7 linked regions of the Cricetulus griseus genome follow. The protein of the gene in region 6 binds, or shares a complex with, the protein of the main gene of each other region. Links are inferred from orthologs where the notes say so. Each region holds a gene or a part of one and is shown on either strand. Other genes may lie near its edges. The genes, in order: Smarcb1, Arid2, zinc finger protein neuro-d4, Smarcd3, Dpf3, Smarca4 and Smarcd2.

What was found.
Region 1: Smarca4 (region 6) and Smarcb1 share a complex: the UniProt entries of both Homo sapiens proteins name them as parts of the BAF complex. The link is inferred for Cricetulus griseus from reciprocal best matches to the Homo sapiens genes SMARCA4 and SMARCB1.
Region 2: Smarca4 (region 6) and Arid2 share a complex: the UniProt entries of both Homo sapiens proteins name them as parts of the SWI/SNF-B (PBAF) chromatin remodeling complex. The link is inferred for Cricetulus griseus from reciprocal best matches to the Homo sapiens genes SMARCA4 and ARID2.
Region 3: Smarca4 (region 6) and zinc finger protein neuro-d4 share a complex: the UniProt entries of both Homo sapiens proteins name them as parts of the neuron-specific chromatin remodeling complex. The link is inferred for Cricetulus griseus from reciprocal best matches to the Homo sapiens genes SMARCA4 and DPF1.
Region 4: Smarca4 (region 6) and Smarcd3 share a complex: the UniProt entries of both Homo sapiens proteins name them as parts of the BAF complex. The link is inferred for Cricetulus griseus from reciprocal best matches to the Homo sapiens genes SMARCA4 and SMARCD3.
Region 5: Smarca4 (region 6) and Dpf3 share a complex: the UniProt entries of both Homo sapiens proteins name them as parts of the BAF complex. The link is inferred for Cricetulus griseus from reciprocal best matches to the Homo sapiens genes SMARCA4 and DPF3.
Region 7: Smarca4 (region 6) and Smarcd2 share a complex: the UniProt entries of both Homo sapiens proteins name them as parts of the BAF complex. The link is inferred for Cricetulus griseus from reciprocal best matches to the Homo sapiens genes SMARCA4 and SMARCD2.

The regions. Positions count from the first base shown.
Region 1 is NW_023276806.1:262,704,482-262,707,981, reverse strand, and holds part of Smarcb1 (SWI/SNF-related matrix-associated actin-dependent regulator of chromatin subfamily B member 1), read right to left. Parts: intron 2,799-3,500; coding exon 2,660-2,798; intron 1,027-2,659; coding exon 897-1,026; intron 1-896.
Region 2 is NC_048595.1:392,709,361-392,713,399, reverse strand, and holds the start of Arid2 (AT-rich interactive domain-containing protein 2), read right to left. Parts: upstream 2,801-4,039; 5' UTR 2,616-2,800; coding exon 2,524-2,615; intron 2,413-2,523; coding exon 2,319-2,412; intron 1,174-2,318; coding exon 1,076-1,173; intron 1-1,075. UniProt on the Homo sapiens protein: Involved in transcriptional activation and repression of select genes by chromatin remodeling (alteration of DNA-nucleosome topology). Required for the stability of the SWI/SNF chromatin remodeling complex SWI/SNF-B (PBAF).
Region 3 is NC_048602.1:6,521,092-6,525,284, forward strand, and holds the start of zinc finger protein neuro-d4, read right to left. Parts: upstream 2,801-4,193; 5' UTR 2,703-2,800; coding exon 2,590-2,702; intron 2,291-2,589; exon of another isoform or gene 1,430-2,290; intron 1,203-1,429; coding exon 1,042-1,202; intron 941-1,041; coding exon 833-940; intron 1-832. UniProt on the Homo sapiens protein: May have an important role in developing neurons by participating in regulation of cell survival, possibly as a neurospecific transcription factor. Belongs to the neuron-specific chromatin remodeling complex (nBAF complex).
Region 4 is NC_048601.1:97,911,644-97,915,902, forward strand, and holds the start of Smarcd3 (SWI/SNF-related matrix-associated actin-dependent regulator of chromatin subfamily D member 3), read left to right. Parts: upstream 1-1,459; 5' UTR 1,460-1,611; coding exon 1,612-1,689; intron 1,690-4,259. UniProt on the Homo sapiens protein: Involved in transcriptional activation and repression of select genes by chromatin remodeling (alteration of DNA-nucleosome topology).
Region 5 is NC_048598.1:120,235,777-120,239,707, forward strand, and holds the start of Dpf3 (zinc finger protein DPF3), read left to right. Parts: upstream 1-1,131; 5' UTR 1,132-1,200; coding exon 1,201-1,232; intron 1,233-3,931. UniProt on the Homo sapiens protein: Belongs to the neuron-specific chromatin remodeling complex (nBAF complex).
Region 6 is NC_048597.1:134,494,216-134,498,346, reverse strand, and holds the start of Smarca4 (transcription activator BRG1), read right to left. Parts: upstream 2,801-4,131; 5' UTR 2,610-2,800; intron 1-2,609. UniProt on the Homo sapiens protein: ATPase involved in transcriptional activation and repression of select genes by chromatin remodeling (alteration of DNA-nucleosome topology).
Region 7 is NC_048600.1:119,219,188-119,223,263, forward strand, and holds the start of Smarcd2 (SWI/SNF-related matrix-associated actin-dependent regulator of chromatin subfamily D member 2), read right to left. Parts: upstream 2,801-4,076; coding exon 2,585-2,800; intron 1-2,584. UniProt on the Homo sapiens protein: Involved in transcriptional activation and repression of select genes by chromatin remodeling (alteration of DNA-nucleosome topology).

The sequences.
Region 1 (3,500 bases), on a different chromosome or scaffold from region 6:
TTCTACAAAGCTGTCCCCTGACCTCCACACGCATGGCATGTCACACACGTGCAATCTCTCCAGCCTACAATAATACAACTTTTAAAAGTTATTTTTAAAAGACAACTCCAGCGGCAGAGGCAGGCAGACATCTGAGCTCGAGGCCAGGAAGGTCTACAGAGTGAGCTCCAGGACAGCCAGGGCTACATAGAGAAACCCTGTCTTGACTGGGTGGTGATGATGCACACCTTCAATCCTAGCACCAGTGAGTTCAAGGCCAGCCTGCTCTACAGAGTGAGTTCTAGGACAGCCAGGGCCACAGAAAAACCCTGATCAAAAAAAAAAAAAAAAAAAAAAGAAAAGAAAACCAAAAACACCTGTTTGGACCTGAGGAGGAGATGGTTCAGTTGGTAGAGCGCTGCTCGTGTGCACAAAGTCCTGGGTACCATCCCCAGCACTATTATAATTAGGCATGATGGCACACACTTGTAATCAAAGCATCGAGGAGGTAGAGGCAGGAGGATTCTAACTTTAACACCATACTTAGCTACACCGCAAATTTTAAGACCAGCCTGGGCCACATGAGAACTGTCTCAAAAAAGAAAGAAGGAAAAGGTTTTTTCAAAGTTCTACCTGTGTGTATTCAAATCTATTGTTTCTTTTGGAAGTTTATCTGAGTCACAATTTTTTTTGGGGGGGGGCAAATGAGTCCCAGATTCAGAACATTCCAGAACTCAAGACTTGGCCTATGTTTGTTAAGAATGTCAAAGATACAGAAGAAACTTAGAAACCAAGGTCAGGCAATTATAAACATAGTGAGTGAGCAACTTTCACTTTACCCTGTTCTTCAGGATGAGACCCCCACACACACATACCCCCACATGTCTCTGGAGCAAACTGAGATTAGGAAGGCATACCTGAGGTAGGTGGGGGGCTCTGTGCTGATGGACACAGCCTTGTATTTCTCATCGTTGCCATCCAGAATCTCTTCTACCTCCGAGGCTTTCAGTAGCGTCACGCTGGTGGCGAGGGTGGTGTACCCATGATCTGTAAGCAGAGAAACCCCACTGTGGTCATCCTGCAGCAGTGTGAACAAGCTGACAACCAACTTGATACAGCACACGAGGTCCTCACATGCAGGAGGTGGGGAAAGCAAGGTGTCAAACTCAGTACTGCTGAGTGCTAGCCTCTTCCAAAAGGGCAATCCGGACTGAGGCTTTACCTAGACATCTCAGTGGAGAAAGCCTCTGGTGGGATGGATTTGGACGAATTTGCCTCTTAAGAGCACTAGCTCTGGGGCAGACATGTTTGGGGGTAGCTGCAGCTTAGGGGCTGCCAGGAAGGCTTCAGAGTAACACCCCAGTGGGAAGAGGTCTGACACCACCACAATCTAAAACACAAAGCAAGATGGGAGACAGAATGAAAGATGAATCCTCTTCTTTTAAAACAAGAGCCCAGAGAGTTGGAAAGAACTATTTCACACCAAGCAAAAGTTACCATCCCTGAGTCAGGCCAGATGTGGTTGTCTGGAAAACAAGACAGAACTTCACACCACGTGATATGCCTCCCCCCCCCTCCCCGCCCAGTTCTAGGGAACCTCTGTCAAGCGCTGCTACTTATCTGCAGGACCTGCTTAGCTTTGCTGGAGGACTCACTTGGTTATAGGAAAGGAAGGCACATGGTAGCAAGACCACTAAGGCTTCATGGGAACTCAAGGAAGGGCAGGCAAAGCTAGGTAGCCACCATGCTAGTGACTATATTCCACTTTTGGCAGAGGGGACACAAAGGAAACTGTTTCAGGCAATAGTGGATTCTTTCAGAAGTGGATAAAAAGCAGCTCTGGCTCCTGCATTAAAAGAACCCCAATACACCACAACAGACAACTACATTAGCACATTAGCACCTACTGACAAGACAGACTACAGAGTGCTCATGAGCACGCATGCATGCACGGACACATGCACCCAGGCCCAGGGCAGCTCTCTACAGGGTGCCTCTGCTGAGTGGAAAGCAGTTTTGCCACCGGCCAAATGGCATGTTGCGCCCATACCCAAATGTTCTTCCTAGAGGCCCCAAAATGTATGAAGAGCATCTTCACTCTGCACAGAGTTGCCACAGCCCAGACCTTGCACTAGTTTCACTAGCACCAGGTGGCTCACCTAGCAAGCCCCAGGCACAGGGCAGGCCACGTGGAATGGGTACATGCACATGAGCTTAGCATACTGGTTGCCAAGATGAAGTATTATGAGATAAATGTGCTCTGGGAGGGAAGCGGTGAAAGCCCCAGAAGAAAGTGAGGGCTGGGGCCACCGTCTGCTACTAGGGCTGCAAGAAGGACGACTACGGCAACACACTCACAGCAAATGGTAGCAAATCACAGCATTCCTAAAACGTTTTGAGACCAACATGTCTTCACAGCACCTGCTACTACCCTGGCCCTGGCCCTGGCCCCTCACATACCCACTGGCCCAGCCAGGAACACACAACAGTGGAGCACCAAAGACTCGCTGAGCTACTCTCAACTGAACCATGTGTGCGCTGGCAGGGTGGCCTGCCCCTGGGATGCTCCCTACCGAACTAAGGTCAGGCTGCAATGAAGACACTGGAGTGAAAACGTTTTATCTTCATGACATAAGCGAGTGGTTTTGAAACAGGTTTACAAACCCTCGTGAAGACGCACCCTTAGTGTTAGGTTTTGTTTTTTTACCATGTGACGATGCAACTATTTTCTTCCTCTCTTCCACAGTGGCTAGTCGCCTCCAGAGTGAGGGATATCTCTTGTACAGAGAACCTCGGAACATACGGAGGTAGTTTCCCACCTATGAGTAAAGCAAGAAGGCTCATTATGAGGGTCAGACCATCGATCACTATGCCGAAGGGCTCTGGCAGAGAGGATTTGCTGGATCAAGTACATGAGATACAAGGCCTCCAGACGCCAGCCTGTCAGCAGCCATAAAACACATTTTGCTGACATCAAGGGTTCAACAGCAGTGCACATCTGGCTGGAATCTGTGTATCCTGACATCAGAACCAAGTTCCAAAAGATCTGACCAGATGTCTATTGGGGAGGATCCCAGACCTCAGTAAGGAGCTTGTGATGTCGATCAGGACGAAAGATTTCTTGGCACTTTTCTGAAATCTGAGACTCCTGTGACCTCCTTTCATCTTAAGAAGCAGACTTTGATATTTTTACAAGGCAATAAACACCAAAATGTCTTTAATTTTAGACAGATGCAAGATAATTTGTCCCGCTGCCTGTGTTGCTTTATTTAGTAACAAAACTCAAACCAGAGACACCAAAAGAATTTTCTCAAGTCTAAAAAGCCCTATATTAGTAATCCCTGGACTATCTTAGAAATCACTACTTCCCCCGAGTAATAGCTTAGTTTGCTTGTAGCAACACTTAAGGACACCCTTCATGAAAAGCTAGTCCTATGATTTTTATAAAGATCCATGGCCTCACTGACTTCAGAAATGATGTCTGCAGTGTCACACAGTGGGGACAACCAGGGGACACGGTG
Region 2 (4,039 bases), on a different chromosome or scaffold from region 6:
GATCTGTGAACTCTTCAGCGTCAAGTCTGAAGTCAATCTAAGGCAGCCAATAGGAAGTACACCTGTGCAATTACCCTGTTTCCTATGTCAGAATCCTGAGCGCTATACAGAGTAACTAGTGCATTTGGAGCAATACAAGACTCAAATTATACAGAAGCTACATTTTACAAAAATGAAATAAAGGCTATCTTATGATATCACCATTACCAATACTTATTAGAAGGAACTATTGAGATCATTATTTTAATTTTAAATTACTAAGAACACTGGGTAATCAAATACAAATACCGACTCCAAAACAAAGTACAATATGAAAGGATCTATAAAAGGAAATCTAGGAGGAAAAAAAAATCCTAAAAGTCACAAAATACATTATCTAGACTAAAGCATATACCAACTCAGTAAGAAGTTTACTTTTTTGAGTAAGCAGTCAAAATGCAAGGGAAAATGGAAGAAAATCCCAACCATAGTACCTGGCTTCACACCACCCCCATTTTCCTAAAGATGCTGAATATTTTCAAATTTCTCAGAAATTCAGTAACAAGAGTCCAAAAAAGTAACCCTGGTCAACCAATGTATCTACATTGTATTATTTATGTAAAAATATTCCATTGAAAACGCACTGAATAACAGTTCCAATACTTTTCCTTTAAAAAAAGAAATTCCGAAAACCAGAATTGTAGAGGGTTAAGGAGTTTCCAAAGAAGAAAAAGAAGAAAGACAAATCTTCCCACAGGTTACAAAGTTTCATTAAGTATCTTAAGACTTTTACTAAGCATCATCTTTTCTGGCCCTCAGTGACTATCAAGCAGTCAATAACAATGTCACAAAAGAATGTTTACAAGACAGGACATGGGTTGTCACCTGTAATGACTTTGTATGGAAAATGTAAATGGCCGTGTTTTAAGGTGAGGAAAACTTCAGCCTCCTATCATCTCCCTTTTTTGACAGTCAATGCTTCTCAGACTGAAATTACCAAGGGGTTGGAAATTGTTTAGAGCATAAATTTTGTTGTTGTTTAATCGCCCTTAAGTCCCTCATTTCCAAATACTGTGGAAAAGTCACCACTACTCACCGCAAGTAATACTGTTTTAAAGCAAAGGCAGCGTTAGAACAACTTCTGGGAAAGTTGAACTCTTCAACAATTTCTCCCCACTGATTCTTCTCAGAAACCTGTTAAAAACACAGGCACACTTGTCTGAAAGTGCCCAATCCAAGAAAAACCTACCCTAACTTGGGAGCTAAATTCCCATTCTGCAGAGATCTGCAGATACCTAAGGTATCAGTGGGTGTCTGGGGTCTGTCCACAAGAGTTACTAAGCCAGGGCCGCCTGAATCACTAGGTTTTCATCAGAGAGACCTGCATTTAGCAGCACTTGTTTTGTTTGGGGGGGAGAGGATTGGTGGGTTTGTTTTGTTTTTGAAGCCCGGACAATAACCAATCGCAAGTCCCTCTGTCGCCCCCTTTTAAATCTCAACGCGGTCCGTTTACACTAAAGAAGAAGAAAAAAAAAGTTCAAAAGGATCAATACTGCTCCGGACAGCGACGTCCGCGAGCTCTGGGGGGGCCGGGGCCGGGGCCCGACTCCGATCCCTCTCCCAGATCTCTCCATCTCCATAGGCCCTTCTTTGAGGCCTACAGCTTCTGCCTAGCCTTGAAGCCTAAGATGGCTATTTGCAGACAGGTCCTGCTTTCTTTTGTTAGCTGTGGAAAGCCAGGGCGAGCGGGCCGAGCCTGTGCCCCCGGCCGCCGGGATCATTTCGCAGCCGATTATCGATGTTAAACCTGCCCGCGCTAATTTTGAGTTGCACGAAAACTGCTCAGAGTCTGTGTGTCTCTGTGTCTCCGCCTGTGCTAGAGCGGCAGCGGCGGCGGCGGCGGCGGCGCGGCGGCGGCGCTGACTCGCAGGCGGCGAGCGAGCGGGCAAGCGGGCGCGGGCGGGCGCGGGGTTCGGCGGGCGGGCACCCTGCTCGCCCGCGCTCCCCCGCCGCGCCGCTCAGACCCCGCGGGGGCCGGCCGGACACCGGGCCGGGGGCGCTTTCCCGGCCGCCGGGCCGCCGGGCCGCCCGCCCAGCCCGCCCAGCCCCGCGCCCCGCCGCGCGCACGCGAGCGAGCGAGCGAGCCACCAGGCCGAAAAACAGCCCCTGCCGCCGCCGGGCCGCCTCCGTGCCACCGCCGGCTGCGAGCGCCGAGAACGCCGTGTGCCCCGCCGGTCGCCCCCCCCCTCCCCGGCCCCCGGGGCGCCCGCTCCCGGGCCGGAGCAGACTTTTCGGAGCAGGCCAGCGAGAGGGAAATACAAATTAAAACTTCCACTCACCTTCGCGAATCCGCCTAAAGTAGTGACTCTGGTGTAGAGCCCGTGAAGATCCAGCTCCTTCCCACCCACCGCAGGGATCTTCTTAAACGGCGACCTGCGGGCGACAGAAAGCCCCGCACTTGTCACCGGGACCCCCCGCGCCCGCCGCGGGGCCCCGTTCGCCCCGGCTCGCCCCGGCGCTCGCCCCCCCGGGTCCTGCTCTCACCCTCTGCTGTGGTGGAACTGCCGCAGCTCGTCCAGGAAAGCCAGTCCCTTCCTCCGCTCGTCCGGAGGCGCCTTCCCCGTCGAGTTTGCCATTATTTTGCCAAAAGGAAGGGCTTCCGAAAAGCCAGATCGCGCTTCAGACGCGGCCCCCGCTCCCCGCGCTCCCTACCAGCGCCCGGAGCCCATTCCTCGGCCGCCGGTGGCGGGGCTCAGTCATGGGCCGGCGGTGGCGGCGGCGGCGCGGCGGCGGCGGCGGCGGCGGCGGCGCAGGGAGGGAGGAGGAGGGGGAGGAGGCGAGAGGAGGGAAGGAGGGAGCGGGAGGCCAGGGGGAGCGCAGGGCCGGAGGGAGGGGAATTTCTAAAAAAGTTTAAAGAAACGGGAGCGAAACTAGAGGGGCAAGGCGACGGGCGCCGGCCGGGCGCGGAGCCGCGGGGCGAGCGCCCCCCCTGCCTCGCCGCCCCCGCGGCCCGGCTCTGGCCGCCTCTCAGCGCCGCCGGCCCTGGCGGCTCGGCCCGGGACGCGATTCAACATGGTGCTGCGGCCGGGGGGCGCACGAGGCGCCGGGGCCGGGCGAGCGGAGGCGAGGGGCCCGGGTGGCCGCAGGCCTGGGAGTTTCGGCGGCGGCGGCGGCGCGCGGCGGCGGGCGGCGGCAGCGCGGGGGCCGGGGCAGGCGGGGCCGCGTGGGAGGGGGAGGTCTGTGTGGTGGCTTGTGGAGAGCGGGGTGACAGCGTGGATCCGGCGCGCGGCTCCGCGGGGCCTCGCACACATTCACGCGCGCGGCGGCGGAGACGGCGGTGGCCACGGCGGCCCGGCGTCCCCCGGCACAGGCTCCGGCGGCAGCCGAGCCGCTGCGCGCCGCCGCGCCGGCCTGCCTGCCTGGCCGCCAGTCTCGCTCTCAGCCGCCGCCGCCACGGCCGGGCCGCTCGCACGACAGCGCCGCACAGCGCCCCCCGAGGGCCGGCCGCGGCACTGCGCCTGGCTCCACACGGTCGCGGCTGCTCCTCGCGGGGAACAATAGACTCCGGCTCGCCCGGCTTAGGGTTCATCTGCAATGTGCAGCACATTTCACACGCACACAAAGCGGGCGGAAAGGGGGGCGGGGGCGGCGCGGGGAAACGGCCACTACCGGTTCTTCCAGGGTGAGGGGTGGAGGCGATGTGCGCGTCCCCGGCGGCCGGGGCTGTGGCAGAGCGGCCTCCGTGTCCCCCCGCCGGGCCTCCCGCCGCACCGAGGGCCAGCGGCTCGCCCCGGCGCAGCCCTCGCCTCCCGGGGAAAGTCCTCTCGCAGCCTCTGCAAATGTTTAGGGCGGGAGGGATCGGCCTCTCGGCTTTATGCTACCAGACTGGGGCCCGAGGAGCACATTTTCCACGGTGTGACCAAAAAACTCATTTTGACAAACTGTGGAGCACACACGGTGTGAATTGTCTGCCCTACTTTTGTGGAGATGAGAGTAAGGCTCTGAATTCGTCTCGCCCCTCGGTCGGTTTCGTGCACCGAACCGGAGTTGATGCCAACAG
Region 3 (4,193 bases), on a different chromosome or scaffold from region 6:
GAAAGCACTAACTCCAGTCAGTCTATGAACTAGCACACACCTCAAGAAGCACCTAACACAGAAACAAGCCGAAAATCTCCATAGCAATTTCTCAGCATCAGGACCCCAGCAGGACATTCTGGTGGAACCATATATACCCCCAGAAGAGGTAGATATACACAGTCCCAGCACACACACACACACACACACACACACACACACACACACACACTTGGAAACACCTAGAAAGAAACAGGCATTCTAAAACACTCAGCAACAGTTACAATGAGACACTCAACTCAGTGGTTCTCAACTTTCCCAACGCTGTGACCCTTTAATACAGTTCCTCATGTTGTAATGACCCCCCAACCACAAAATTATTTCGTGGCTACTTCATAACTTTAATTTTGCTACCCTTATGAATCGTAATGTAAATGCCTGGTATACAGGATACCGGATACGCAACCCCAAAACACAGGTTGAGAAACACTACTAAGTCATCCAAACACACAGGGAGATAGCCAGATGCCCTCCAGCACCCACAGAAAGAAACACAGCGGGACATGGGCGTACCCCGGCTCACAGGGGAGCGCACACAGTTATCTATCTAGACACAGATAAAAGGATGTCCTCCGTACACCTGCTCGCCACGGCCCACACAGCAGGTACATCTGGAAGCTCAGAAACTCAAAGGAAGTAACTCAAGACACGGGGAGGGGGGGGACGACGACGACACAGATAGCCTGTTGTGGAGACACCCAGGGGAAATAAAGGCTACATTCTGGCTGACAGCAGTGGGGCTGAGGACTTCGATGGGGGCCACAGCGGGCGCAGGGGCCACAGCTCCACCCACCGATCTTGTACTCGCAGGGCCGCAGCCTGGGGTCCTCCAGGATGTTGAGTCTCCGTTTCTTCCTCCAACAGCGGGCGGGGTAAGTGTAGATCTGTCCTGGGGCCAGACCTGGAGGAGAGGGAGGGATGGAGGGAGAGGGAGGGAGGGCGGCAGTGAGCGTGCGGCCCCGGGACGCAGGCCCCGCCCCGCCCCAGCCTCGCGGCGGGTACCAGGCCCGCGGTGGGTCTTCTCCATCCAGATGTAGCAGTTGTTCTGGGCCACGCCGGTCTGCGAGTCGAGAAAGGGCAGGCGCAGGCTGCGCTCGGCGCACAGGCGCGCGTTGTAGCTGCGGCAGTGCTCGATGGCCTCCCGGTAGAAGTCCTCGCCGAGGCTGAGGGGGGCGGGCGAGCAGCGGGCGAGCGGCTGTCAGCCAGGGAGGTCCAGCACCCTCCACCACCACCCCCCCCCCCACGCCCCGGGCCTCCCGTTCCCGCCGCCGCCGGTCCGCAAAGGGCGAACCAGCCAGGGCCCCCTCCCCCTCCTCCTCCTCCCATCCCTGGGGACCCGGGGGCGGGGCGGGGTGCTGGCTGGCTGGCTGGCTGGCTGGGAGGCCGCTACCTGGAACTTGATTATGTCTCAGGTTAAGTAAGAAGTGTGTTCACAGAGCGAAACGCAGCAGCAGCAGCAGCAGCAGCAGCGGGACCCATGCACACACGAACGTAGCCAAACACCCAAAACAAACAAATCGCACATGGCCACACGGGATTCACACACAAAGGGAAACATATCCCAAAATTCACAAAGGAGAAGCAAACACATTCACACACACACAGACACACAGACACACAGACTGGGGTCAGAAACAGGCCATAAAACTACCTCTGCACGCCACGCATCCAGAGACCCCCAAGATAAACACATTGTCCACAAAGCCCCCCGGCGTGGCAACGTACTACGCGCAAACGTCGCAACAGTCGCACGGTGTCCAAAGCGGCTTGCCCACACACCTCTCTCCAAAGACACGGGGTGTCAAACACACGATACAAAGAGACCACGCAGTCACACGCGCGCACGCTCACACCCGGGGGGAAACGCGACCCCAAACTCGAAGCGCATTCCCAAGCACAGGTACACGCCTCGGAGACGGAGGGACAGCCAGGTCCGCCCGTGCTCGCACCCAGCCTCACACCTCCCCGTGCAAAGACGCAGCCTCGAGGGTGCAGCCTCAGCAGACGCGCGCGCACACACTCGGAGGGGACCCGAATGCCCAGATGGGCACCGTGCAGAATAAAAGAGACAACCATACGCACATACCCACACATCCGGCCAGAAAACAAAACAAAAAAGCAACGCACAAGTCGCACAACACACTCCACGCCCCAAGACAAAGGTAGCGTGGGCTCGACTCGCGTGTACTCAGGTTCCCTACGCCGCTTCCCCCTCTTGCAGACCGTGGCATCCCCGGGAGGGGACATGACCCCCGTCCCCTGGAAGCCCTGGGGGACCCCTCCCCCACGCCCTGCACCCGCCCCGGACATCACCCTTGCCAGACACCCGCAGTCACACACGCTCGCACCCCCGCTCGCTCGCTCGCACACGGTGACAGCCCCCTGACACCCCACCGGCCCCACCCCCAGCGGCCACACACACACACACACACACACACACACACACACACACACACACACACACAGAGACACGCACACGCGCGCGCGCGCGGCCGCGCAGACCCGCCCCCGCCTCCCACTCGCCCCGCTCGCCCGCTCGCCCGCCCGCACCACCTCAGGGGGCCGGGGATGACCGTGGCCATCTTGCTCCCCGGGTCCTGCCCCCAGCAGGTCCCTGCCGGGTCGGTCCTCCCAGCGGTCGGGCGGGCGCTGAGGCCGCCCATCCATTCATTCCCGGGGGGCGGGAGCACGCGGATCTCAGCCAATCAGGACGGCGGGGCGGGGCGCCCGGGCCATGCCGGGAGTGGTAGTCCCCCCGCGGGTCCTCTAACCCGGGGCACCGGGGGATGGAGGATCACGCAGTCCCCGGTCCCACGTGCACAGACGCATGCACGCACACACGCGCACGTGGCCGCTTACACACAGCCACGCTCGGCTCGCAGGCTCTCACACACCCCACCTTCACTCACGCCCCGCCACAGGCGCCCAGACCTCGCCAGTGCCCACCCAGCCGTGTCACCAGCATGCCGGAGTTGACGCCACCTCTCCCACCATGCCCTCCAAACTCTGGAGCACCCATCGTGTCCCAGGGCTGACTGTCGCGGTCGGTCACCCGGGTCCACTCCTCCGCAGGACTACAGGACTGTCGTCATCCTTCCCGGGCTCAGATCCTCGCTGATAGGACCTCGGGCACATGACTTAACCTTTCTGGGCCTGTCTCCTCCTTTAGAAAATAGTTATAACACCTCATCGGACTGAAGAGTAGATGAGTGACAGGGTAAGTGGCTGCTTTCGTGACAGAATCCTACTGTCCAGCTCAAGCTGGCCTCAAACTATAGTTCTCCTGCCTCTGCCTCCCTGAGGTGTGTGAAACCACACCAGTCGCTGTAAAGTGTTTTCAAAGATACATAGCAGGGCTTGGGGGTGGTTCTGGTAAAAGAAAGTGATCGAGAGCCCATGGGTTCAATCGCAGTCCCACATGAAGAAATAGTACCTGGCAAGTACTAATAAATCCATTTATTCCACAGAGAAGACATCTACAAAGAGGATCTGACACGTACCAAGGCATAAAGTGGTTACGCCGCTCTAGAAAGAATAATGCCTGCCCGCCCTAGTAGGTGTCCAACAAATATACGTTGAGTGGTTACTTAACATTTGCTTAACACAGCTCTCCCCAGACTAAACTATTACTGTCCTTATTTTCCAGACGAGGACTTTGAGATCTGGAGGAGAAACCTTACCTGTTCTCTGCCCCTGACTGCTGTCTGAAGGTAGCACTGAAAGACGAAAGATTCATTCACCTGGTCCCTTCCACTCTTCTCCCTCGGCATCCACACACCCTATCCTCCTAACAGAACCCCAGCGAAGAGCTGACCTACCGAGTCTCTCTCTCTCCCTCTCTCTCTCTCTCTCTCTCTCTCTCTCTCTCTCTCTCTCTCTCTCTCTCTCTCACACACACACACACACACACACACACACACACACCCTCTGGGGAATAACTTAGCACTCTGATTTGAGTGGCTGCATAAATTAGCATATCAAGTGTTAATACAAATACCCCGTTGTCCAGCAGGGGGTGTTCCACCCACCGGGCTAAGACTCAAGATTTCCTGAACTACACACACCCCCAATCTTAACTCCCTGCCACAAATGTCCCCAAGTCATTCAAGACCTTGACCCACCCCTTCCCCAGCGTAGGTAGGGCATCTGATTCA
Region 4 (4,259 bases), on a different chromosome or scaffold from region 6:
GACAGTGGGCGCCTGAAAGGGCAATGACAGCTAGGCACACTAGCAGGACCTGCAGGAAACTAAGGTGCTGGCCCAAAAGACTCCTGGGAGAACATTCCCTCTGTTGCTTGTCCTGGCCAATGAAGACATTCTGCAGGGCCAAAGGTTAGGCCCCCTCCGTGCAATGCTGGGTCCTGAGGGCTCAAATTTTAATGTGTTCCCACAAATTCCCTCAGGCCTTGTCCCTCCCTCATCCTAGTTCTGACAGCTGCCGTCCCAGGAAGCCCATAAGTGTGACCCTTAGTTGTCCCAAAGCCTGCGGGCTCCTCCTCCAGAAGGTGGGAACAGGCGTGGCTTCTGGCATGGGCGGGGCCTGAGCTCAGCCTAGGGATCTCCTTTCTGTTCTCCCTCCACTCGGGGGTCGGCCAGTTCTCTCCCTACGGTCCTTTCCGGGGCTCCCTCATCCTCTCCCACTCCACACTCCTGCTTTCTCTTCGGTCCTGGAGCGGACCTCAGCCCCCCAGCCCCCCTGGGTCTCCATGCCAGAGCCACCAAACCTTGTTTGCTCACTCTTTCCTCCTTACCCACCCAAGTACGCATCCCGGCTCGGCACGATTCCCCACACTCACTCTTCCTGTGCTCAGGAGCCCAGTCCATGTCCCCTTTTCGGAAAGACTTTCCCCGGTTGCCCTCACTTTCCCACACAGAGGCAAACAAAGACTCACGAGCCCAGAAATAGCCTCCCTCCGAGCTGGAAGGCACAGGCCGTGTCCTGCCCCGCGCGCACGCACGCTCGCACGCTCGCACGCGCAGGCACGGCGGCTCCCGTGGAGGGAGCACACCGGTGCCCGCACATAAACATCCACACCCTCGGCCGCTGCGCCGAGCCACAAAAGGGTGCAGACACGCGGAGCGCGAGGCACGGGCACACCCACGGCGGCCGGCCCTGGACGGCTGCAAGGCCCGCTCCCGGCTCGCCCGCCCCCCCGCCCCCGGATTCCTTCCAGCAAATGTTTCCCTACTTGGCCTGCCCGGTCCCTGGGGAAAGGGCCTCAGAAATGCTGCAGGAGCCACTTGGGGGAAGAAAGTTGGAACTGCCCGTTCTCTGCCTGGCCCTGCCGGCGAATTCCCCAACCGAGAAACTGTTTGTGGAGAAAGAAGGCAGGGTGGCGGGCAAGCCCCCCCCCGTCCCCTCCCTAGACTGTCCCTCCCCGTGCCGCCACCGGCGAGCCTCCGGCGGCCTGGGCGCTCGCTGCCCGCCTCGCAGCCGCTGGGCGGACCGGCCTGGCTCGCCGCGTCTCTGCGCCGTTTGGACCACGCGGGTGCACGGGAGGGCTGCTGTGTCCCCGCGCGTCGCAGGCAGACCCCGGGCCGCCGGACTATTTCTGTCTTATCAGTGCAGGAATGCGGCAGCCGCGGCGGCGGCGGCGGGCGGCGGCGGCGGGCGGGCGGCGGCGGCTTGGGCCGTGGGCCGTCAGGGCAGCCCTGAAGGGGCCCCCTCCCCACTCCGCTCGAGTAGAAGTGTGAGAGAGCCCAGCAGGACTCAGAGGGGAGAGTTGGAGGAAAAAAAGGCAGAAAAGGGAAAGAAAGAGGAAGAGAGAGAGAGTGAGAGGAGCCGCTGAGCCCACCCCGATGGCCGCGGACGAAGTTGCCGGAGGGGCGCGCAAAGCCACGAAAAGCAAACTTTTTGAGTTTCTGGTCCATGGGGTGGTGAGTGGGGGAAAGTTAGCGGGGGAGGGCGAGCGAGCTGGCTCGGGCTGAATGGAGGGATGATCGGGAAGGGCCGCCGGCGCGCTCCCGCTCTCCCACCCCTTTGGTTGGGGGGCGCACGGTCACGGCCCAACCCTGGGACCTTGCCGGCGCCCTGGCATCCGAACACGTCGCCAAGCGGTCGGCTGGGGATGGGCGCGCGGCGGCAGGGAAGAGAGGCGTCGGCTTGGGCTCTTGTCAGGGGCAAGGGGTGGGATGTGGGCACCGTGCCCCCCAAGAGGTGGGTCCCCTCTGTAGCTGACACGTCGCCCGTTCTTTTTTACTGGTGGGCCCAGGTGTTACCCCTGCCCTGGGGTGGGGGTGGGGTGGCGACTGGAACACACAACTAGGGTTGGGCTGCCTGTTGTCCTGTTCATCCACAGGGGCAGTGTCACTCTGACTGGGTCTGAGGAACTAGGAGCAGGTGACCCTGGAGGCACCTGAGAGCAAAAGCTCCCTGGCTGAGCAACCTCTGCAGCCTAGCAGGAGGGTCCTGAGGACTTGGCCCTGCTGTCAGAGCTAAGAGAGGCCTACTTAAGAGATGGACCCCAAGTTAAAGGGGTCAGGGGATCCCTTGGCAGGCTCAGCCACCAGAAGTTGATGACCTTAATACCTCAAAGGTGTGAAGGGATGGAGTTGGGGACATGAGGCCTAGAGATCAAAGGGTTAACACTATAGTGTCCTGCCACAGACATGTGAAGGCACACGAGGGACCTGAGGGTTCCAGGGACCTGAGGAGGGAGATGACTGGGTTGAGTCAGTGGAGAGCCTGGCTGTAAGGCGCTCCAGGCTTGGGGATATGTGATAGAGGGAAAAATCAGTCAAATTTACTATGGCCAAATTTGGTTGTGACTCCAAGAAGCACCTCCTCAGTGAAAGAGGCAAGGGCCCCCAAAACCTTGACCTCTTGTGATTGTGGTGCTGGTGGCAGAGCCCCTGGAAGCCCCTTCCTCTCAGTAAACCAGACAGTGTGGGTGGCCTTGATGAGTAGCAGGGCAGCTGATAGGGAGGAGGGCTTCCCTGTGGCAGCCTGCCCTCTAGCCACAGGGATCTCTGGGGTGCAGTTCCCAAGGCAGTCCTGTGGGTTAGTGGAGTTACCAGTCCTAACCTAGCTGCCTGGGGGAGTTGCTTTACAGAGTCCCATTCAGTGAAGAGGAGGCTGCCCATGTGGATTTGAATATGGCCAACTTGGAGGGTCAGTCCTTGAGTGATCAAGGCCCCCTTATTAGTAGTGGGGAATGACTAGGCCTGGCCTTCCACCCTGGTGGCACTGGTGGTATGAGTGACAGAGTCAGGTGGAATGGGGGAGGCAAACTCAGGAACTGGCCGGTTACACTACAGAAGAGATGGCCAGGGACAGCTGCTGGTAGAGGGTGGTAGAGGGTGGAGACCTTTGGTCTGAGCAGTCGGGGTTTCTTGGTTCTGGGGTGAGATGAGGAGTATTTTGTATTTGTTTATTGTGTATTGAGGCAGGGTCTCCTGTAGCCTAGGCCTCGAACTCACTATATAAGGGAAGATGGTCTTGCTCTTTCTGTCCCCACCTTGAGATTGGGATTACAAGTGCAGTTTCTTTGGTGCTGGGAATCGAACCCTGGGCTTCACATGTATTGGGCAAGCACTACACCAAGCTACATCCCTAGCCTGAGATGAGGGTGTGTAAATAGTAGGGTCTGCACCCCCACATCACCTCCTTGTTCCTGGTTAGCCCCTAAACCTCAACTCCCTTTCCAGGCCTGGACAAGTGGACTCTGGAACACCCCGCTTGCGTTTACACCTCTTCTGTTTTGATTGACTGCCCAGAGGTGGTGGCTGGGGAAATACAACCTGCCTCATTTCCCTCCAATTTGTACCCTTACTAGGATGGGGTGGGTACTGGGTTCTCTCTCTGATGTAGGCAGATGGGAGGGAGATGTGGCTTCCTTCAACCATCCCTGCCCTCTGGCAGCCCACTTCTAGTCCAGTTCCCCACTTGCCACTCGGAAAAGCTCAGACCCTCGGGTGCCTTTGCCCAGCCTCTTGTATCACCTTGGGAGAAATGAAATTAAGGAGGCAGACTAAGTCAGAGACCTGGAGTCAGCTGAAGGGGTTATTTGAACACCAAGGGTCCAAACCAGGGGTGCTGAAAGGGAGATGGGGGCTCACATACAAAGCCCCAGAAGTGGGCTGTAGAAAGCAGGAAAGCAGCGGGGAGCAAGGCCCGTCAAGGTGCTGCCTTTGTCGGGATGAACGGGGTGACCTTGGCGAGGTCGCTTTTTCTCTTTGAGCCCCAGTTGCCCCATCTGTCAATTGGGGATAAAAAAGACCGGCTCTGGCTGGCTTGCAGAAGACCGTGCCTGCCGATGTGAACATCCTTTGAAAGGTTGAAAGGCGCCATTAATATTCATTTTTGCGGTACCTTGCACGGCTCCGAGGCTCGGCTATGCCCTGGGCAATTGCCTGGCTTCAGTTAGCTTCCTGCAAGGAGCCGGCGAGCCCCCTCCTCCAGAGCCACGCAGATTCCCGCGCCCCCGCCCCTCCCACAATCACTCCCA
Region 5 (3,931 bases), on a different chromosome or scaffold from region 6:
CGCCATCCATTTGGCCGTATTAAACAGCTATGGGTCGGTAGCCAGGCTTCTACATGCTAACGACGCCTCTAAGTGCTTTCGCTCACTCTGAGCCTCCCTCCCTGTTCTCCGTGGAAGCCTGAGTTCGCAGAAGTCTCTCAGTTTCTTCAAGTGTTCGCCAGATTCTGAGCAGCAACAGACTCGGGAAGCCTCGAGTCACGTCGCAACATTGGCTTGAGAATTCTTTTTGCGTCCTATATTAGTCCAGAAAGGTGACGCCGGTATCCGCAGCGCCGTTCCCCGAGGGAACTCCAGCAACACCCACCTCAGGCTCTAACAATTTTGCTTCCTTAGCTGCGTTTGCTAAAGTTGCCTCAAATCTTCCCTATCCTTTTGCCAAAAGAGCGCCAGGTCTCCCTTTGCTCTCCAGCTGGCCCGTGTCAGATCATTGTGAATCGCTGACAGCGGAGAACGGTGTGGTCGTAGGGGACAGCGCAGAGTGACCACCCCTGAATTACGTAACAAAAAACCGTAGCAGCAGCAGAGGGCGAGCCTGACGCTGAGACATTCCAGGGGGAAGGGAGTTGCTGTCCTGGACTAGCCAGTTCCCAGAAACCGACAGGGGAAGGTGGCTGAGATAAAGAAAACACTTCGGGGACAAGAATATTCAACAGCCTCAGAACCTACAGCATTATTAACAATCGGTGAAACACGAGTAGCAATTTCTTGCAGGGAATTGCAGCCTTCCAACTTTTGCACTGAAATACGGGAGGTGTACCCGGAGCGGGGGTGGGGTGGGGAGGTAAAGACGGTGATATATGAAGTCCAAAGCTAATGAATGGGATTTAATGGTTTTGATGGCCCTATGTAAATATTCCTGCTCAGGAGCGCAAACTCTCTGCAGTTATTTAGTAAAGTAGGGGCTCAAACTAAGAGAGAATTCTCTCCCATGTGTGTCCACTAGCCCCAATCAGCAAGGGCGCTACTAACACTGTACTGCCCCTTTAAGACCTGCTCGCTCTCGGGCTCTACAAAAGGGAGTGACCTCTGGGCTTTGACAGCTCCCCTAATAACTACCACCACGTAGGCCCCGCCTACCTGGCGACCAGCCGCGGCGATTGGCCTGCAGGCCGGTATCCCGTGCTCTGATTGGCCTGCCGCTTCCCCTGAGCGAACCTTTAGAACTCTGAGACAGACAATATTCTGTTACATTGTAGCAAAATGGCGACTGTCATTCACAACCCCCTGAAAGCGTAAGTAAGACTAAAAAATGTACATATTCCGCGTGGTTTCAATATGAAAAAAAGGCGCCTTGCGGAGCGCAGCCGGCGCCCGGCTCTTGCAGACGCCTCCCGCTGCGCCCGGGCTCCTCTTTTCTTCTGCTCTTACTTCTTCATCTTTTTTTTTTTTTTTTCCTCCCAGCGCGCAGAAATGTCAGGAGATGCAATTAACAAAAAGAAAATTGTTACATCTGTGTTCTGCTTAATTGACTGACCCGGACCGGGAGGGAGCCCGGAGCGGCGGCGGCGGCTCCGGAGCTGCGGGGGTCTAGAGCAGCTCGGGCTGCACGGTCCCCGGAGTCCTCTGCCTCTCCCGGCACCTCGCGGGGCTGGCCGAGCCCGGTCGGAGCGCGGGGCAGGGGCCGCGTCGTGCGCTCCGCTGAGCCCTGAGCTTCAAGCCCGAGGCTTCCCAGCTCCGCGGCTCGTCGGTCCGCCCGGGCGGGCTGATCAACCGCTGCAGCTGCGGAGTTTGCTGGGCGTTCGCTCTGCCTTCCGAGCTCTCGCAGGGAGTTTGTGCAAACCTTCCGGAGTTGGGAGGACAGCGCGCGGAGCGGCGGGTCTCGGGAGTCCTGGGGCCCAGGTGCTAGCCCCGGGCTTTTCCACTCGAGCAGCCGGGGGATCAGGGAGGCGCTCCGGGCGGTCACCGGTGTGTCTGCGTATTTGTGGGCGAACTGGCGGTAGTAAATTAACGACCTGGATTAACTTGGGGGTTGATGTGGAGGCAGGGAAGCTGCAGGTCTTATGAATGGTGTGTTTGCCTGCTTTGGGTGAAAAGCCGAGGTAGGCGGAGGCGGTTCGGGGCTCTGGCGACAACGAGGGGCAGGTGCCTCCGGGAGACTTTGAGCGGACAGAGGGGGGCGGGCTGCGCGAGGATTCGCGGGGGCCGGTCCCCGGTCGGAGCTGCCTGCCTGCCTGCCTGCCTTCCTTCCTTCCTTCCTTCCTTCCTTCCTTCCTTCCTTCCTTCCTTCCTCCCTCCTTCCTCCCTTCCCTTCCTTCCTTCCCTTCCTTCCCTTTCTTCCTTCCCTTCCCTCCAGTCGGTGAACTGTGAATGTGAAGCCGCCAAGTCCGCGAGCGATCGTGGAGCCGCGGGTGGCCTCGGAAAACTAGTGTGGCTCTCAAGGGGCGCTATTGGCAGGGATGTTGGCAGAGGGTGGATCCCTGGGAATTGCTGCGCGGTGTGGGCTCCGGTCGGTGCCGGTTGTACTAGGACTTCCCCGCCCGGTGAAAGCCTCTGGGAGTAGGAGGGTGCGCGTGGGTGTTTCGTGCCAATTCTTCCCAATTTGTGGCGGTGGTCGACCCTGGCTCTTTTAACTGCCTGCTACAGCGTCCTAACCCGTGGAGTCAAAAACACGGTTCGCTTTGGAGAGCAGCAAGGCAGTGCGGGGGGGATTCCTAGTGCCAAGAAACGCCTAGGGAGAACCCGCTGCGTTTGCACCAGCTAGCAACCAGGAATAGGGCAGGGATGTCCCAGATCTCGGAGTTTCCACGAGATAATGCGGTAAAGAAGACACTGGAGGCTGAGCCTGATGCGAGTTCCTGGCTCCAGTTCTCGCTCGGAAGCTCAGCTACTTTGCACTCGCGACAGCATTTCACCTAAGAGAGAAAATGTTTTATGGCAGAATAAATGGGCGTAACTTCGCCGCGTCCTCGCCGACTCGCGCCGCCACACCGCTGATGCCAGGAGTTTCTCCAGAACCCACACAGCTGATTTGCAATTTCCTCATTTCCAGCCGAAATCACGTAGTCGAGCTGATGCTGCTTGGTAAACTGAAGTCTGAGAGTTCTATTTACTATGTGTATGGGGTTCCTTATTGGGAAAGCGGTCTCCTTGATGCCCGGGAGCGGGCTTACGCTCGGGCGCGCGCAGGAGCTCCACGCTCCAGGGTTCCCCAGATCGTTTCACTTTTTTTTTTTTTTTTTTTTTGACATAGAAGCCTGCGAGTGTAGGGGTAATGGGGGAAGGGACAGAGCAGCAAGAAGGTGGCCAATCTCGGTAGTGAAATTAGTTCTGAATTACACGTGTACTCCTTAATAATTGGAAACACCGTGGGATGCATTTGTAACTCCGTCTTGGCACACACACGTACACGGGAGCTCACACACATCACCACTGCCTGCCTTTCCTAGGAAGGAGTCAAGCCGTCACTTTGTAATTATCCGCCCCCTTTTGCATCCCATCCTCTCCCCCAACCCCTAGGGCTAAGGGTGTAAACAATAACCCCAACGGCCAAGGGTTTTGCAGCCTGGATATTTTAAAAACTCCGCACGCAGGAGCACACGCGTCGTTACTGGGAGACCGACGTCATCTGCTTCTATTATTATTATTATTATTTTTAAAAACTTGTTTAATAAAACATCTTGTATATTTCATTTGTTTTTAGAAGTTGCTGTTCAGGAAACAAAACACACGTGAATAAATTATGCATGGGCTAAATTAGAACAAAGCGCAGCGACACAGCAAGCCGAAGGGATGGATGGGGGCGCAGGGAGGAGGAGCAATGAGAATGGTTTGGAGAGCTTATGTGTTTATCCTTGTGTGCCCCTCCTGACAATGAACCGGAGCTCCAAACCGCATTAGCATTTTCTCCGTGTGCGTGCAGTCTCTCTCGTCTTAAAAAGGCAACACCACGGACGCCCCCTACAGAAACTGGTCACACAAAGATTTCCTCTTG
Region 6 (4,131 bases):
AAAAACATTTTAAGTTCAAAAAAAGAAGTAACACTCTTCACCCACCACAAACAAACCACCAAACCAGGACCCCAGACTTCATCAGCGACTTTTTCATCACTTTTGAAGTAGTGACATTTGGGGCTAGGAAAGCAACGGCCTGAAAAGTTCAAAGCCCAACAGCAGCAACAAATGATTATTGCTTTGGATTTTGTTACCAATCACCTCACATCAAAGTTCATCCCTCCCAAGGGATGAACTCTCCTCTCCTCCCACTACTGTCTGCTTCCAACTTGCCATGTTATAGAAAAGACAGAGCAATAGTGGTGATGGCACTGATCCATCCTCAGCACATGGGTGTGTAGAGGGACACATCCTCCCTTATTTTGAAAAAAAGGTACCTTCTCCATGCACTCTCCCAGGACTTATGCCCACCACTGCTGCCTTGTACAACCATTTTGTCCTTCCACAGAGCAGGTTGTAAGGGTTAAATGGAAGGCCAAAGGATTGGGAATATAGCTCATGTTTAACATGCACAAAACCCAGGGCTCCAAGCCCAACAACACCCAAAACTAACAAAAAAGGAGAGAAAACAAACAAAAAACCCACATTCATAAAATAAGGCTTGCAAAAAAAACTGAAGACACATATTCATCAAACATAGATGGGAAGAAAGAAATGAAGGAAGGAAGGAAGGAAGGAAGGAAGGAAGGAAGGAAGGAAGGAAAATAATGCTAGCTGGGTTGGTGGCTCAGTGTATAACACTTGCCTAGCACGTACAGGGTCAAGTTTGAGCCCCAATACCACAAAAATCAAACACACTTAGAGGCTTAAGAGGAGAAATGGCTCAGCAAGTAAAAAAAGGCACCTGCTGGCCAAGTGGTGGTGCCACAAACCTTTAATCCCAGCACTTGGGAGGCAGAGACAGGTGGATCTCTGAGTTCAGGACCAGCCTGGTCTACAGAGTGAGTTCCAGGACAACCTCCAAAGCTACACAGAGAAACCCTGTCTCAGGAAAAGAAAGAAAGAGAGGGAGGGAAGAAGAAAGGGGAAGGAAGGAAGGAAGGAAGGAAGGAAGGAAGGAAGGAAGGAAGGAAGGAAAAAAGAAAGACACCTGCCCTAAAACTGTCGACCTGAGCTCAATTCCAGGAATCCACAAGGCGGGAGGGGAGAACAGACAAGTTGTCCTCTGACCTTCACACACTAATAAATAATGAAAACCTTTAATTAAAAAAAAATTCACAGGTGGTGGCACAGGCCTTTAATTCCAGCACTCGTCAGGCTCAGGCGGATGGATCTTTGTGAGTTCGAGGCCAGCTTGGTCTACTGAATGAGTTCCAGGACACCCAGAGCTGTTACACAGAGAAACCCCGCCTCGAAAAAGAAAAAAAAAAAAAAAAGTCAAAACAAAATAAGCCCCTTTAAATGAATTAATATACTTACAGGCCAAGGAGCCTTGCCAACATTTACAGTCCATTCCCCTACAAGACATGTGACACACAGTAGGGATTCAACTATCTGCTGGACCAGTCAACAACAGCCCAGGAAGCCTGGCTGAACACCTCTTATCCCAGCACTTGTGGGGTGGAGGCTGGAATATGAGGAATTCAAGGCGAGCCTGGGCTACATAAGCAGTTGGAAGTCAACCTTGGTTATGGGATCCTGTCTCCAAAATCACAATAATGATGATGATGATGCCCAGTGTCTCCCAGCCCTATCTATGAAATTCGTAGTTCCCTTGTACAAAGGAGGAAACCAAGGCGTTCGGAAAGATTAAGCGACTTTGCCTAAGGCCACACAGCTAGCTGACAGCCTGAAGTGGGCATCAAACTCAAATCCATCTGTCAATTCGAACTAAACTTGTTTCCAATTCCCAAGAAGCACCTGGAGTCCCTGGAAATGGGGAGGGAACCAAACCGATGCCTCCGATGTTTTACAATAAAAAGCCCTATCTGGGAAACTGGGAAGGGCCAAGGGACTCGAGAGAAAAAAACAATGCCGCTGTGAGCAAAGGTTCCCTGCCATCTTTCACTTTTTAGGTAAACGTTTCAAAGTCACTACCTGCAAGGAATGTAAGGAATTCTTACTTTTCCTTCAAGATGAGCAGTAATAAAATTTATCAACAACAACAAAAAGAGTGACGCCTTGATACCGAAGAGGGGGGATGACTGCGTCCAAGTCACACTGGACATCAATACTGGAGGTAAAATATTGTTCCCGCCGCCCGACCACAGGGCATTAGGGTCGCACCCAGAAAGGCCCACGACACCCAGCTATTGTTCAAAGTTGGGATCACAGAAATTAAAGTGTGTGTGGGGGGGAATACGGATCTCTGGAACGCCGAAGGGAGGGAGCTTTGTCCCGAGATCTCACGAGAACGCGCGCGCGGCCTCCACGAGGCCCATGGCCACCCGCCTCGGCGGCCACGGAGCCTGCAAGCGGCCGCGGTCTCGCTGCACTGCGGTCTGAGCCGCGCGCAGGGCTTTCTTGACCCTCGGGCGCCGCCGTACCCCGACCCCGCTCGGGTCGCCGGGCTGTCCCCCTCCCCCTCCCGGCGCCTCGGCTTCATTCAAACCGTCTTCCCCAAGCCCCGGGCGCCTCGTCTCCACCCGGGAGTCTCCGTTCCTTACCCGGAGGTACCGGCACCGTAGCTTCCCTGGCGCCGCCCCCAACCCTCCACGAGGGGTCGGGGACAGAGTGGGCGTCTCGCTTCTCCTCAGGAAACAAAGAAGCCGTCGCCGCCGCTGCCAAGCGAGGGGAATGCCTTGCGCGCGCGCCCGCCCGCTCAGCCTCGGCAGGGCGCCCCCCCCACACTCACACTCACGCAGCACGCGCGCCCGCCACGCGCGCGCCCGCCCGCCCGCCTCCCTCCCTCCCGACCCAGTCCACGACTCCCGCTTCCGCTGCCTGCCCGGCCTCGTGCACGCGCCAGCCCGCCCTTCCGCTCTCCGTACGCATGCGCAGGGGCTCGCTGTGCGCACGCGCACCGGCCCTTTGAGGTAGCGAGGAGGTGGGCGGGCCCAGAGGCGGCATGAGGCCCTGAAGCACCGCCCCTGTGGAGCGCTGGGCGTCTCCGCGATTGCGCACACCTGAGTCCCAGGCACGCAACTGGGCCTCAACCCGCGGAGCATGCGCAGACGGGCAGGCACTGCGGCGACGCTTCGAGGTTGGGGGAAGGGACTCTCTGTGGTCCTGAGGGGAGAGAGTAACGATGAAAGCGAAGCCCTTAGGCTCGGAAATGAGCACCCAGGATGGAAAGTAGAGCCTAGGAACCGTCACACACCGCCCCAGGACGGGACAGAGCGCGCGCGGGGCCAGGGGCAGGCCTGGGAAAGTCTTTGATCCTGGCGCTGGCGCGGCCCTGCCTGCTCTGCAGGGCTCTGCCCTGGCCACATTTCCTGCAGAACTTGCTGAGGCCCATTAAGTAGCTTTCCAAATATTTACTGAGTTGCCATCGGCTCCTCGCGGCCCTCTGGTTCAGCATCTGTGGAGAGCAGGATGAATAAAGTGAAACGCGCCGGGTGTGAGGTACAGACAGCCACAGTCAAAATTTTCTTTAAAGTTTTTAAGAACGCCATTAGCCTAGAAATGAGGGAACGAGGGTCTCTATCCTGGTGCAAGTGTAGACATTCCAAGCCTCTGGTTGAGTTTGAAAAATATTGGTGGTTGTCAGTCATGATAGCCCACACCTTTAATCCCAGCACTCGGGAGGCAGAGGCAGGAGGATCTCTGTGAGTTCAAGATCCGTAGTTCCAGCCTGGTCTACAAGAGCTAGTTCCAGGACAGCCGCCAAAGCCACAGAGAAACCCTGTCTCTAAAAATAATAATAATAAACATTTATTTGGTGCTGGAGATAAGGCTCAGAGGTTAAGAGCACTGACTGATCTTCCAGAGGTCTTAAATTCAATTCCCACCAACAACATGGTGGCTCGCAACCATCTATTATGGGATCTGGTGCCCTTTTCTGACCTCCGGGCATACATGCAGGCAGAATACTGTATACATAATTAATAAATAAAATCTTTTTTTAAAAAAAAGATTTATTTCAGAATGGGGCTTGGTGGCATTTGCCCTTCATCTCAGCAGGCCAATCTGTGAGATTGTGGTCAACTTTTTCCACAATGTTTCAAGCCAGCCAGGGTTACATAATGA
Region 7 (4,076 bases), on a different chromosome or scaffold from region 6:
GACTTGATTCTGTAACCACCAAGGAGACAATGGAGAAGGCTAGGCCTGACTCTGCCATCTCTGGGTAGGAATCTAGGGCTCAAGTAAGCATGTTCTGCTCTGACCTAAAGCCTGTAGCTCTGGTCCTCAGATGGCTGCCTGGGCCTAAGAGCCTCATTTGGAGAACATACCCTGACCCTATGAACAGAAAGTATTCTAAACTCTGAGCTGAGTGAACTCAGCAATAATGCACAGTAGGTCTCTTTGTTTTGTTTTTAATTATGGTGTTAAGCCCTTCAGCTGACTGTACTCCAAGACTAGATAGAATAACCCTCTAGAGGTAGGTAGCTGGGCCATTACTTTTGTTTCAACAAGCTCCCCAATATGCCCAGCTTGAGCATGCAAATCCTCGCTCACCCCCAAGGGCTCTAACCAGGAGGAGCCCCTTTGTCTTCAGACCCCAAGCCCTTTTGAAGTTAGGTACCTGGACATGAAAAGAAGCAAGCAGTTTCTCCTTCAAAGTCAACCAGTGTTAACTGGATTCTCTTTACCCCACCTTTTCCTCTGCCCTTCCCCAGAGAAAGAAGAGGAGGGGAAGAAATGAGAAAGAAGAAGGTGGTGATGTCAACCTGGTTGGTATGGGATGTCCAGACTTAAGGCCATCTTCTTTCTCACACCTAGTAGCCACAGGTATTCAGCTGGCCAGCTTGGCCTCAACATAGACCCCAAGGCGCTACTCTTTACAAAATATGGAGGAATCCATCTTCCTATCCTCACAGGGGCTTTCCCAAGAGCAGATTTTCTATCAGCTGCATGCCAAAGAAACTGGTCTACATAGTGAGTTGGGGCAGCCAGGACTACACAGAAAGTCAGACAAAAAAAAAAAAAGCAAAGAGACAGATCTCCTCAGTGCCTATAGGAAGCTTCCAGATCAGTTCCAAGCAAACAGGGCCAAAGGCTACTAAAATCACTGACATCAGTGATACACTAGGCCCATGAATCTCCAAAGAAAGCAACATGGGAAAGATAAACCCCAACTAGTATCCTTGGGACCAAGTCTATCTCTGTTCATAGCCAAATTCTTCATTTTCTTTTGAGAGAGGAGAAATGAAGAGTTGGGGGGGGTCACTATCCCCACCCCCACTCCCAGTTAGGTACCTCCTTAGAAATCTGATTCCTGGTAGAATATGCACTCCATGAGGATCTATTTCTGAGGCCTCTACTCTACCTACAGACACCAGCAGAGGACAGAGCAAACTATAGTGCACACCTTCAGACATTAGTAACAAGGAAGCTGTGGCTCACAGGCTGAGATACCTATGGTCTTGTCAAGAACCCGGAGAACAAGTAAAAGCAAAGAGGTTGGGTGTGGTGGTGCATGGCTGTAATCCCAGCACGTGAGAGGCAGGAGGAGTTCAAGGCCAGCTTTTTTGGCTACACAGCCAGCCTGGGCTACATGAGACCCTGTATCAAAAAAAAAAAAAAAAAAAAAGGGGCAAGGATACTGGGAAAGGATGAACACAATCCCCAGGCACTCTGGGAAATGGGGTGCAGCTCTCTGATATAGCAATTGTCTGCCATGTGCAAAGCCTTGCCTGGGTTCCATGCTCAGCACCAAACTGCATTAAGTAAAACATAAAATCCTCAAAACATCCTGGAGCAACTTGCACCAGAGCATTGGGGAAGGAGCCCCACATGCCGGGTCAGGCTGAGTTCACAATGCACTGACCACAGAGTCGCACCCCCGTTCCTCAACGGGCCTTTGAAGCTGCAACCTGAGACTGACTGCTCTTTTTCCAGCTAGAAGGCTCAGGGCAGTGCCCTCTGAAGCAGCCGATGCTGCTGCAGACTCCTGCAGCCCCCGCCTAGCAGTATTCCACAAAGCCTCTCTGCTCCTCCAAACGTAACTACTGGACGCTGGCACTAAATGGAAAGCCCATGCTAGACCGTATCTGGACTAGTCTGTTACTGGGACTGGGCCTTCTTCAGACCTGGCCGCCGCTGCCACTAATCTAACCTGGAGCCATCTGGGCCCCCTCTCCTTAGTCCCCCCCATGGCGTAGGAAGCCAGGCTTCCTTCCCCCTCAACTAGCAGCTGGGAGCCATCTCAGACACTAACGCTCTGCCAGTTCCCAACTAGGGAAAAAAAAAAAGCCAAGGCAGAGTTGCAGTGGGACCGAGGCCAACGAAAGGATAACCCTGTTTTCTCTTCCAAAATTTTCTCACGTCTCGGGTCACCCCCGGACCCCGACTCCGGGACCTGCTTTAGACTCTTTCAACCCGATTGCACACAATTCTCCAGATCCCACGGAGCCTACATCTCTCAGTTACTCAGAAGCCGTGAGCCGCGGAGCCCCGGGACTCTTGTAACTGCTCGAGCGCTCCACCGGAGAGCCGCGCTCACCCTTTCCCCGACCCTGCCTGCCCCTCTCTCTCTAGCCGAGGGACCCCGGCCTGGCGCGCCACCAGCTCGCGGCAGTTCCTCCTGCAGCGTCCCCGGAGCCGCCCGTCCAGGGACGACTCCTGCCCGCCCTCACCTGCGGCCCCGGGGAGACCCAGCAGGCGCCCTCGCGGCGGCGCCCGCCCGCCCGCCCGCCCGCCTCACCTGGTACTGCGCCGCGGGGCCCGCGGGGCCCATGGGGCGGAAGGCGGCGGCCGCCGGGACCCCCATGCCTCCAGAAGGCCCCGGGCCTCTGAGCGCCGGGTTGGGCAGCATGCCGGGTCCCGCAGGCGGAGGAGGTGCACCCAGTGCCGCGGCAACGGCGCCGCCGCCGGGGCTTAGCGGGGGCAACGGGAACCCGCCCGCGCCACGGCCCGACATCGCTCTGTCCCGTCCCGCGGTGCAGCGATCCGGCCTCCGGGCTCTGTGTGGAGTCCGCTCCGCGAGCTGCGTTCCGCGATCCGGGACTTCGCGATTTTACTGCCGGGTTCCGGGGTTTTCTATTCCAAGTTCGCAAGTTCTTCACAGACCGACCCGCTTTAGGACCCGCGGCCCCACTGACTCCGCTCCTGCCGGGGAGACTCCAGATCCGGGATGTGCCGCAAGCCCGCCGGCCTCTCCCGGCCCCCGGAGGTTTCGCCGCCCGAGTCCAGTTACCCAGAGGCGGTTACGCGCTCCCGGCCCCGCCCAACCCGGGCCTGCGCCCGGCCCCGCCCCTTCCCAGCAGCCCAATCGAGACTATCTCTTCAAATCCCGCCCCTCGCGAGACCCGCCTCAAGCAGGCACCGCCCATAACTGACGGCCACAGAGCCCCGCCCTTTGGGACCGCCTCTTCCCGGAGGAGCCGGAGCGGAAGCTGCACGCGGAAGCGCTGGGAAAGGCGCGGGGTCAGAGCTCAAAGGTCACCGTCCTAGGTCCTCCGCGGTTAGGTGCTGGCCGCTCGCTCCTCAAGTGCGGCTCCCTCCGCGAGGTGCCGGGGGGGGGCACGCCTCCAAAACTGTCCTTCCGGGTCAGCCCTAAAGCCAGGCGACGGCCGCCGCTCACCCAGAGCCCTCGCCGGCGCCCGAGGGTGGGAGCCGGTGGGATAGGGCGCTGTCTGCCGTCGCCAGCACCCCGCCCCACACACACCCCAAGAAACCGCCAGGGACATGCGTGACTCCAGACGTGACCCCGCTGGGTAAAAGTTTGACTTGGCCCGGTGCGGAGGTTTTGTTTTGTTTGTTTTCCGAGACAAGCGTCTTGAGTGACAGCCCAGGCTGTGCAACTCCCCTTGTAGACCAGACTGGCTGTGACGCGCCGCAGTCTCCCTGCCCCTGCCTACCAAATGCCGAATCACAGGCGCGCACCGCCACCGTCGGCCCACAGAAAGTGAGTTTAGGTGAAGGAGTTTTGCATGCCGAGAAAACTCCAGGCAGTGAAGCAAGTTTTCTCCAGTTCATAGAGGACTTAGTTTTGAAGAGTTCCTGGCCTTTCCAGAAACCACTGGTTTCGGCTACGGAATGGACCGCCTACCCTCAGCTAATGTGGGATCTCCTCCCCACAGTACAGAATCGGTGCTGCTTAACTTTAATGAGCACTGAAAAATCCTCAGATTTGGGTTGGGGGATGTAGCTCAGGTTTAGAGTGCACTTGCCAAGCATGCATTAAGCCCTGGACT